3 linked regions of the Drosophila melanogaster genome follow. The protein of the gene in region 3 binds, or shares a complex with, the protein of the main gene of each other region. Each region holds a gene or a part of one and is shown on either strand. Other genes may lie near its edges. The genes, in order: Nprl3, Wdr59 and mio.

The links.
Region 1: mio (region 3) and Nprl3 share a complex: the UniProt entries of both Drosophila melanogaster proteins name them as parts of the GATOR complex.
Region 2: mio (region 3) and Wdr59 share a complex: the UniProt entries of both Drosophila melanogaster proteins name them as parts of the GATOR complex.

What each region holds. Positions count from the first base shown.
Region 1 is NT_037436.4:14,000,018-14,003,772, reverse strand, and holds the start of Nprl3 (nitrogen permease regulator-like 3), read left to right. Parts: upstream 1-1,892; 5' UTR 1,893-1,983; exon of another isoform or gene 1,984-2,128; 5' UTR 2,129-2,146; coding exon 2,147-2,280; intron 2,281-2,339; coding exon 2,340-3,755. UniProt on the Drosophila melanogaster protein: An essential component of the GATOR subcomplex GATOR1 which functions as an inhibitor of the amino acid-sensing branch of the TORC1 signaling pathway.
Region 2 is NT_033779.5:11,089,353-11,093,107, forward strand, and holds the start of Wdr59 (WD repeat domain 59), read left to right. Parts: upstream 1-2,091; 5' UTR 2,092-2,214; coding exon 2,215-2,526; intron 2,527-2,589; coding exon 2,590-2,800; intron 2,801-2,856; coding exon 2,857-3,140; intron 3,141-3,200; coding exon 3,201-3,374; intron 3,375-3,429; coding exon 3,430-3,755. Other genes in the region: CG16854 (uncharacterized protein), read left to right, coding at 1-1,067. UniProt on the Drosophila melanogaster protein: A component of the GATOR complex, which functions as a regulator of the amino acid-sensing branch of the mTORC1 signaling pathway.
Region 3 is NT_033779.5:2,215,201-2,218,955, forward strand, and holds the start of mio (missing oocyte), read left to right. Parts: upstream 1-2,089; 5' UTR 2,090-2,226; coding exon 2,227-2,344; intron 2,345-2,397; coding exon 2,398-2,571; intron 2,572-2,629; coding exon 2,630-2,881; intron 2,882-2,973; coding exon 2,974-3,755. Other genes in the region: daed (daedalus), read right to left, coding at 131-259, 315-1,025; CG15386 (uncharacterized protein), read right to left, coding at 1,375-1,608; CG42371 (uncharacterized protein), read right to left, coding at 1,626-1,759, 1,813-1,942. UniProt on the Drosophila melanogaster protein: An essential component of the GATOR subcomplex GATOR2 which functions as an activator of the amino acid-sensing branch of the mTORC1 signaling pathway.

The sequences.
Region 1 (3,755 bases), on a different chromosome or scaffold from region 3:
TGTGCGAGGGGCATAATACGCACATCTACCTTCACGTTGCACAAAACGGAATCGAAAGCAAAACAAATGAACCCGCAAAGCTGTGCGAGCGAGCACGCTATACTGACGGTTAGTTGAAAAAAGAATATGCAATCAAATATGGCGACACACAGTATGCAAAAAAAAAAACCATACAAAATCGACGCATCAACAAATGAAATATTTATTTAACTGGCTCGACTCAAAATAAAATCTGAATTTCATATATATGTGATCCAATAGATATGTATAACCCATTCGACTGTATATTTTTCGATTCAAAATATTTCCGATTTGGGCGCGCACTCACATACAAACACACACACTAGTTTTACTCACCGTTTACTCTGTTATTTTGAATTTTCACTTCATTTTGCACAACTTAATTTAATTTAACGACAAGCTACGTGGTTTATTTTTTATTTCGAAACTTTATATTTCAATTTTATAAATACAAATTAAATTTGTATACACTTTAACACTGGTTCTTTTTTGTTCCGTTGCACATTGTTGATTTGCAGCATTTAAGTGATGGCGCGACGTTGTTTCGAACGTTTACTACCTGCACAAATTAAAATGTTTCTACTTTGATTAATCAATTTTATTATTATTAATACCGTATGGCACAAGAAGCAGAAGACAAAACGCGCAGGAAAACACATAAACTGGGATTGCTTAAGACGTGTGTAAGAGCGAGACGACCAGTCGGTTTGAGCAGACCATATAGCTAGTGTGACCGTTCTAGCCTATGGACAAGACATGCCAACTGACTATTATCGCCTATTTTATTTTGTTCGCCTGCCCTGCTTCTTCTTCTTGGTTTTTGTGTTGCGCTGTTTCCCTGTTTAGCCTATTACTACTGCGCCTGGCCATTCCGAAATGCTGTACGTACATATTTCGATTTCGCCTTTCCGCCTATTCGTTGATACCCACACAAACGTATATCTGTGCATGCCTTTCTACGTAGGTATGTGTAAAATCTATACACACGGATGTTGGCGCACATATACACAAAAAGTAAAATAGTTATGTTATTAACTATTTAACCACAAGCTATTTACATTTTAGGCACTTATTAATCCTATTTTCCAAAATACAAGGAATAGATACAGAAACGAAGACATAGTAGAAAAACAAACCTACAAGTAAATGACAATTAGTTGAAATTAACTTATTGGCCACCATACTGCCGAAGAGTGCGAAACTAATTCAGAAGCGAACCACTCAGCCAAGTAAACTATATTTTTTTGTAGAATTAGTTATACCTCTCCTACACTCACACAAATATTATATATATGTATATATAGACCGCGGCTAGTACACGTTTAGCGTCGTCTCGCTCCCACCTACGATCCGCACGTATTTTGCCTCTCACAATGTGTGTGTTTTCCTCTTTTCCAACACGCTAATAAGAAATCGTCATTTTTAAAAGTGCTTTTACAGCCAAACTAACATGTTTCACAGGGGAATTTCATAGTTCTGCGATTGCCGCGTTCGCATACTACGCTCCCAGTTATTTTCACAAATTTTTTGTTGACGTTTCGAGCACAATTTCCACACGTTTTGCTCACAACTTTCCGCTTCTAAAAAATTAGAGACTGACCAACCGAAGACGGTCACACTACAGCGGAGCGATAGATCGTTATCGCTCGACCAGGGATCCTATACTATTAGCCTTGCCGATATATATTTATTTATATAGTAAGACCGTTTTTCGTTTAGTATTTTTTAGTTTTTGAATATATTATCTAAGGTATCTATGGTAAATTTAAACGATTTAAAAAAATTCCATTGCGTTGCATTTATATTATTGTTTCGCCTGCAAAATGAAAACTGACATGACTACTATTTTAAATAAGTTTTTGGTATTTTATGCAAACTAAAAGAGAGCCACACTGCTGTAAATATATTTTATATTTTACATTTATTTACTTTGCTTCCATTTCTCAATGAAGTCAAATTGAGGTACTAATAAATAAATAAAGAGTTGTTGAGGTAGTTTCTGTAGCAAACTACGATTTATAAAGTATTTTTGAAAACATAGCCAACTATTTGTTGACCCTGACCCCAGTTGATAATGCAAATGTTCATATTTTAATTTACATAAAAGGGGAAGTGTCTGTGTGCCATGGAAACTAATGTGAATCCCCTGGCCGTAATCCTGGTTTACTTCGATAGCAAGGGGGATCGGTTACTGTACAGGTATCCGTACCAGACTCTCGGCCAAACGGAGGTGGCCAACGACGAGCAGCGGAAGTCCAGGTACTACCTATTAATTCAAAGGGCACTCAGCTTGACTATACCGATTTATTCAATCACAGAAAGCGCAATCCCTATGCCGTGGCCAATACGGACGATCTGCTGCAGACACCCACCCACTTGGGTGCTGCCAAGAGCCAAGGACAACTGCAGGGATTCGCAGATGAGGTCCTGTCCGCTCTGTTTGCTGTTAAACCACAGCTATGCAACCAAAAGTTTGAACTCAAACTGAACGACGTACGCTTTGTCAGTCATCCCACTCTGATACCGCAAAAGGAGCAGAGAAGTGGTCCAATGGCCAAGCAACAGATGCTCATCAACATTGTTTTTGCGCTGCATGCACAGGCCAGCTACTCGATTGTTAAGTGCTACCACGAACTGAGCAAGCGCCTTGGACTGGCGCTGAAGTTCGAGGAGCAGCGCAGTGGCTATCTCACCGAGCAGACGGCTCAAATGGCTCGCACACACGACGAGCAGCAGCAACAGCCGCTGGAACGCACACTGGAGCTGATTGCAGAGCGCTGCAGCTTGGCACAGGCCTTGCGCTCCATCTTCCATGATCTATGCACCACTGGACTGCTGAGTACCTCGCTGAATCACAACCTAACGTTGTGCTTCTGTCTGCCCGCTAAGGCACACCAGCTCCATAAGAAGGGCAGCATGGTGGATCCAGAGACCATAGATCGGTGCCTTCGTGCACTGAAGCCCTATCATGGCATGTTGCTGCTGGTCGACTTTGCCGAATTGTTGGACTGCGTTCCACCGACTGGGGCACGCATGCTATGGCAGCTAGTCGACGTCTACGACCCACTGATCAGTCTGCAGAGCATGTCCTCCAATGCAGACTTGAGTATCGAGCATGTTTATAAGCTCGTCTCGCATTTGGTCTACTGGGCTAAGGCAACTATTATTTATCCACTCTGCGAGACAAATGTCTATGTGATCGCGCCGGATGCACCATTGCACACCAAGTCCCACCTGGTGGAGAAGTTCTCGGCCCGTTTTGCCGGTATGTCGCTGTTCGAGGTGATCTCCGATTTTTCATTGCCCACTTCAATTGGACACTTAACCACGCCACTGCAGCAGCCAGCGCGACAGGGTATCCTCGCACAAATGGTGATTTGGATGCTGCAGCACCATTTGCTCATGCAGTTGCACACGTACGTTCAGTTTATGCCCAGCGAGGATGAATTCGGAGATTCGGCCTCCTGCAGCAACCATCTAAGGGATGCCATTAGCGATGAAGAAGGAGACCAAGAACCAGATGCGGACGAGTTGCATGGCTCCATGCTTAGCATGTCCAGTCATCCGTTGCCAGTGCCAGCGGTATTGGTGGGCGGACATCGTCGTGAGGCGTCCGAGGACCATTCATCACTGGCCTCGGACAACATCGCCGTGCAGCCATCATCCAGCCACAAGTCCAATTTCAGCATCACCGCCTCGATGAGCACGGACAATTGCGACAGCCTCGATTCCAT
Region 2 (3,755 bases), 8.9 Mb from region 3:
TGGCAATGCTCTCGGCATTCAATTACAATCAAAATGGGTTCCGAAAGCAGCCAACGGATTATTATCTGCGACCCATGATTATGGAAATGGAAAAGACTGTGGCCTTCAAGAAGGACCTCAACATGCACTTGTGCATGGGCAGCCGGAGGACGGCGGATGTGCTGCTCGAGTATATGAAGAAATTGGTGCCACGAATGAGCAGGGATCTTTACTTTTCATTTTTTTGGACGGTGGCCCTAACCCATGACTATTTTAATTTCCCCTCACTACTGGATGAGGCCATGTTGCAACAGTTGATGCAGCTGCAAGATTCCGGATTGCTCAATCGCACGGTGGTAATGTTGCTATCCGATCACGGACTGAGATGGGGTTCCTTTCGTCGTACCTACCAGGGCATGATGGAGGAGCGCCAGCCCCTAATGATGCTTTTGTATCCGCCATGGATGACCGAGCGTTATCCGGAGGCAATTGCCAATCTTAGGTTAAATGCCCGCCGGCTAACCACACCATTTGATGTGCACGCGACAATGTTGCAGCTGCTAAATCTTCACAATCTGGAGGCAGATCAGTTGCAACGCAGATCAACAGAGATGGACGAGCCGGATAGCACGCTGCCCAGAGGCATTAGCCTATTCCTGCCCATCCCGGCTGCTCGGACCTGCGAGCAGGCAGGGATTGCCGCCCACTGGTGCACCTGCCATCAGCGCCAGGAGCTGCAGACAAACGATCCACGTGTCCAGCGGGCGGCGCGCTATCTGGTACGCTTGATCAATAACCGACTGAAGGATAGCTCACAGTGCAGAACCCTATACCTGAACTCCATACTCCAGGCTCTGATTGCAGCGCCGCACTCGAAGATTGTGAAGAACATTTCCACGGACTACGCAGTGGACATCACCCTGCGACTGCAGACGAAGCCCGGGCTGGGTGTGTTTGAGTCCACGGTGCGGATGACGGGCTATACGACCGTACTAACGGGCACCATTAGTCGTCTGAATCTGTACGGAAGCCAGAGCTACTGTCTCAACGATCCGGCGCTAAAAATGTTCTGCTATTGCCACAGATAAGGCAATGGCAATGTAACTGGGAGCTTTCGGGGATGGGGAGGATGTGTTTGACGTCAAAGACTTGAAACCCATTAACGTAGCCTTAGCCATAAAACCTAGTTTATTTCTATGAAATAGCCAATGTTTGTATAAAAATACTTATCCAATTTTAGCCTTTGCCGTAAGGAGTTCCCAGTCTTAGGCACCTATGTAGTCACGGTAGTTGAGCGGAATTTGTTTATTTCCCACTAACTTAGAGGACAATAAACTGAATGAACTAATAATCGTAATAACCGCAGAATTACTTTGTGTATGTAAAATAAATGATAAGCTATTACTGACTAGGGAGGGAAGTGGCGAACATATAAATAAATAATAGTATCCAAAATATGTAGCACTTAATGTTGTAGACCATAATTGAGTTGTTATATACATATATAATGCACTTTTTGTTTAGTATCTCATGATTTATAGCCTTATGCTGAGTTAATAAATGAATAATAGGATGAACTTTTTATAAATGAGTCAATTGGGAATATCCCTTTCTAGTTACAAATTTATTTAGATGCTAAATTATATTTAGCCACGTACTTTAATAATTTTCATAACATTTATGAACCAATGCACATGTATATTTTTGGTGATTGACAATTTATAAAATGTAATAAATCTATAAAAAAAATCGAACGTTTTTATTTAACAAGACCATATATATAAAATTATAAATTTTGCTCTGAGCTCGTTTACCTGTTTTATATCATAAATTCAAATCCCGATAGCTATAACCACAATTTTATCGATACTATCGAAAAAACAACATTTTCAGCTATAGTTGTGCTGTCGTTATTCCAGCTAGATTTATGGGTGTTACAAACTTTTGCGACAAAATATTAGGTACAATTTTTTCATATAATGTTCTAGTTTAATTTTGTAATTTTTTTAATATATTATCAAAAACTATAGCAACAGCATTATTGAAAAATAGCCAGCTTAACGAGGTCCTGGAAATTCATTTGTCGGAAAAAATGCTTAATTGCCAACACAGACGCCTGTTGTTATTGTCTATCGTTCTTATCAGTTCAGTTTCTTCGTTTAATTTTTGTTTGTTGCAAAAATGGTTTAAATTCGCAGTCTTTTGCTTTTTGAGCACTTATTAGAGTAGGACAATATGCCGCCCACGGAGACACTGCGTCCGGGAGAACGCGGAACAGCCGGTGGACCGGGAGCAGGAGCACCCGAACAAACGTACATCGTCAGGCAGAGCAACAAATACTATGAACACCGAGATTCCCAGGCCACGGCCATGTCGGTTGATTACTCGGGTCAGTGGGTGCTCCTCGCGGGCCGTGGTCACCTGGCTTTGCAGCGTTTGGGACAGGACGATGGGTCTCTGCGACGACATGAACGGCAATCGAAGTACGAGGTGTCCGTAGCAGAGTTTGCCATATGTCCCAGTCGCAAAGAGTACTGCGCCATAGCGGTAAATACATAAAGTTATCTACGTATAGGCGGCGTTTATCCCAGTTTGACCTTTGAATTTCAGACTAGCCAGCACATAGACATCGTTCGCTGGGGCACTGCGGAACCACACTACGAGATGTCCTTGCGTGGGCATACTCGAACAGTGACCGACATTGACTGGCACGGCAAGGATCCGAATCTGCTGGTCAGCTGCTCAATAGACACATTTTCTCATATTTGGGACTTAAGGGAGCCCAGGAAACCAGCCCTGTCCTTGAATGCCGTGTGCATGTGTAAGTTTCTACAAAATAATTTCAACTTTTTTATATTATATTTAAAATTCTTTCAGCTGGTGCTACACAAGTGGGATTCAACCGCGTTTCGGGCAACCTTTTGGCTGCTGCCCATGATGGAGATTTACGCATCTGGGATATTCGCAAGGGTAGTTGCCCGACGCACTATATCACAGCACATTTAAATAGAGTGCATGGCATCAATTGGAGCCACAAAAGGGAGACCTGCTTGGCAACCGCCAGTCAGGATGGAACGGTCAAGTACTTTGATGTATGTAATCCTCGCAGGGCCGAGAAGATCATTACAACCATGTCGCCCGTTTGGAGAGCGAGATACACGGTAATTTATATTGGTTTATCAATATTGATTGCTATTCTAAATACATCTTGTTCCATACAGCCTATTGGCAACGGTCTGGTTAGCATTGTGGTGCCCCATTTGGGACGCGGAGAGAATAGTTTGCTGCTCTGGAGCAACAGCAAGCAAACGGACCCTATTTGTTCCTTCGTGGGGCACACCGATGTCATTCTTGACTTTGCCTGGCGTCCAAATCGTGAAAGTTCCAATGAAATAGTAAGTATTTTAAAGATACCACAATGTTCTTACTTATGCATTGAGCTTTAATTAGGAACTGGTCACTTGGTCCAGGGATCGCACGCTGCGGGTGTGGAAGATCGATGATAATATGCTAAAGCTTTGCGAACCGTCTGCGGAAGAAATAGAATCCCGTTTCGAGCCCGATCTCAGTGAGTTAAGAGTGCCTACTCCTCCAGAATTCCTGCATCCACGATCAATTTTGGTTGCCGCTTCGTTGCCCATATCCACGGGTGACGGTGCTTGTAATACCTTGCCCATGGCTCGCTCCCCGAGCTTTGGAGGTGGCTACTATCGCAGGGAAGAGCCCCACATAGCCAGATCACTAACAGATCAACCCACGTGTTCGCTGCACCACGA
Region 3 (3,755 bases):
TTGGGCAGTAAAACTTCATTACAGCTTTAGATTAAGCGAATGCTTAAAGAAGTAATAAGTAAATTCTATAAACTTAGGTCCTATGAGAAAATCGGAATGTAACTATTAAATGCATCGTTGTGCGTTTTTTTTAAGTCTGAACGGAGATCCGCTCCAGTCGGGGAGCGCTGCGGAACTTGGTCCACCACCAGAACCAGGCGCACGAAAATCCCACAGCCAAGGTGGTGTAATACAAAATAGTAGCCAGGCTCCACTTCTTCTGCAATGCAAATTTGTATAAAGGAAAATAATTTCTTATTGCTTGCTATATTCACCTTCTTGTGACTCTCGTTGCCCTGCACTTTCTTCTGGCTCCTTGCGTTCTGGGCATTAGCTTCGATTTTCGCGAGATCCTTGGCAATCTCTTCGGTGATCTGATTCACGCTTTTTAGAGTTTCCTGGGCAAAGCAGCTGGCATATCGTTTGTCGCCCACCACGACGTCCTCGGGAGTGGAGACCTGCAGCTTGTAGTTGGTGGCCGCTAAAGAAGCGCGCAGGGACATAAAGTGGTTGCCAGCATTGCCCAGAATCTGATTGTTGTAGTTTTCGGCTTCAGGATGGTTGCAAATGTATTCGTAACTGGGATTCTGGTTGGGAATCTTTTCGAACATCTCCAGGAGCTGTTGCCGTTGCTTTCGACACTTGAACCCGAAGAGTTCCAAATCTTCGTCGGTGAGAGAGGCCAAATCCAGATAGTTAATGTTCTCGGCAATAAGTTTGTCCACACAGGTGCTGGCGTAGTCCGTTTCCACGCTGGTAGAGCACAGTAGACCGTTGAGGATCTCCCTCTCCCGGCGTGTGTCCCTGTGAGCCTTTTGGCGAACCCAAGGACGTCGATTGTAGCCCAGGAAAGCACTGTCCAATTCCTTCTGCTCGGTGTGCGAGTGAAAGTTCTTTGTGGCCTCAAACTGAATGGTCGGCGGAACCTTGGCCATCGCCACCAAGGGGACATCCCCCGCGGACATTGTGTGCGTCTTCGTTGCCATAAACTCTGTCAATAATGGCAATTAAATTACCATTAAAATGCAATTGCGCTTAGATTAGATTCGCTGTTAAGAATCGGACGTTTACGAGCACTGCGAGTAGGGGTGGTCAAGATTCCTAACAGATTATGTTAAAAGTAACAGAAGTAGTAAGGGCTCTGTAAACATTTAAAACGTGAATATTAACAATTTAGTAATTTTATTTCCTTTTTCCTATTTCGCATTCTTGTACGAATCGAATTTTCTTCTAATGAATCACCCTACCCAACCAATTAAGATTAAATGCTTAACATTTGTATTTAAAAAGTATAACAAATTGATAAATTGATGACGATTAAGCTTCCTAACTATCCTATTTCTCGGACGATGACCTGTAGATTGGGGCACTGGTGGTGGACGCCTCCTGGAGCTTCTTCATAAACAGAGCCTTTCGCTGCTCATCCGCACTCAGTTTGGTACTTGAAACGGAGGCTTTGATGCGCTCTAACTTGTCGACGTTCGGCTCGGTTAACACCATTAGGCCGTACCCCATTCCTCCGAAGCCAATCAGCCACAAAACGGACTTAAAGTAGGGATTACTAAGCATTTTGGAAGCGGTCTCCTCTAGTCGCTTTTCTTCAAAGCACTCCAATAACTCGCATCCGCCTGTCGCACTGTGCTGTCTCCGACGATTTCACCAATTTTGTAGTAATAGTCCAAAACGAAGGGATAGTTCTCGTGAATATGCTGACGAAACTCTAGGAGCGGATTGTTATTAACGATCAAAATAATTATATAAATATCCTCCCACCTCGATTCGTGTTCATGCGATAATAAACGCCGTAGCTGGCTGCGAAGCAGACTGCCTCGAGGACAAACAGTGTTTTGGCACTTCCTTTGATGAATTTCCAAATTGCAGGTTTTGGTGTTTTGCGCAGCATTTTAAGTGGGAGTTGTAAATATTAAACACGTTTGCTTTCTTACAAAAAAAAAAGGAAAACAAAATCACCTACCAGCTTATCGATAAAACGAATTATCGAACTGGGCCAGTGCTGGCTAACATGCGGCCAACAGCTGGTCGACCGGCTAGTGTGTGTGCGCCTCTTCTTCTTGCCATGTAGTGCAGTGTTTATCTCACGTTTTTGTTTTTGCAAACTGATAACGCGACGCAATTTAGTCTGTAGTGAAAATTGTTTTTTTTTACATCGATGGAAAATCGGCCACGATGAGCGGCAATACACACGGACTCAGCTGGTTTCCACATTTTCCCGACAAATTCGTATCCTGGGGCCAGGAAATCCATTTATACGAAGTGCGCCGCAAAGATGATCACAGCCAAAAAAGTAGGGTTTTCCCCAAGGGATTATGCCACTTTACTTAACCGCCCCCCTTGCAGGTCGCCTGCCTTATATATCCGTGAACTACCTCGCCAACGAGTCGCGCTATCAATATGCCCGCTGCGTGGCCGCCTCCTACCACAGTGACCAGCCCATAATTGCAGTGGGTCTGGCGGATGGCAAAGTCGGGATTTGCAACTTCCGGGACACCTACGACAGCAGCTGGGAGTACAGTGGGTGGACGACAACGCCGATTCTTAGCTGCATCTAATAGTTCTTCATTTCTCGTAGCACCGCGTCAGCAGCGCATGTGCACCTGCCTCGCCTGGAACGAGCTGGATGCCAATATCCTGGCCATTGGACACGATCGCCATCGAAATGACACCTGCATCACCATCTGGGACATTGAGCGTGGAGTTCCCAAGGAGACGGCCAACTTCTTCGGCGTCGGCGAGTCGGCCAACTCCATTTGCTGGGATCGAAATCATCGCACGGTCATTGCGGGAATGAGCCAGAAGATGATAAAGCTGTTCGATCTGAGGCGTGAGTACACATAATGCGACTGGTTATATTTCAACTACGTAGTATTACTTTATTGCCCTTTCACTGATGAAATCTTTAAATCCCTTTCGCAGAGAGTAACGCCACCTGTCAAAGCATTCAAACAAAGACAGTGCAGGGACTTTCCGTATCCCCCAATGGCAACTATCTCTGCAGCTATGTGGACTCGGTGATCACTCTGTGGGATCCGCGAAATATCAAGAGTCCCCTCAGGCAGATTCAGTCCTCGAAAAACCATTTGCAGATCGCTTGGTGTCCGACCAGGACAAGCCTGCTTTCCTCGCTGCAACGCGATTCCTCCTACATCACTCTCTACGACATCCGGAGTGTGGACACGGACAATTCCGGAGAGATCTACCACGTAAAACGACAGATTAGCCCCTTTCCGGCTAGATACCAGCACAGTGGAAAGTTTTCGTTTGTTAATTGCCTGTCGTGGCATTCGAGGGATTTCGAGAGAGCTCTGCTTTTGGCAGATGCGCTGAACATCCTGGACTTTCGACTGCCAGCCACCTTGCACACGGCGCACAGCAATCGCCGGAAATTGCCACTTCTGATGCAGCGTCCGCTCTACACACCCGCCTCGCCGACTTCCACTGCGGCCACGCCCACTCAGCAGCAGCCCACGAGCAGCTGCAGCACGAATAGCGGGAGTTCCCTGGACTTTAGCACTCCTGGTGGTTCGCCCTTCAATGTGGACCTGCTGAAACCGGAACTCTTTGAGCTGGATCTGGTGGACGAGACGCGTCAGCGCGCTCTAGAGGATTACGGCATCAAACCCGATAACAAGCGATTCGGCGAACTCCACTTGACACCGTATCTGCGAAATGTGTGGTCCACTTTGAACAATGTCTAC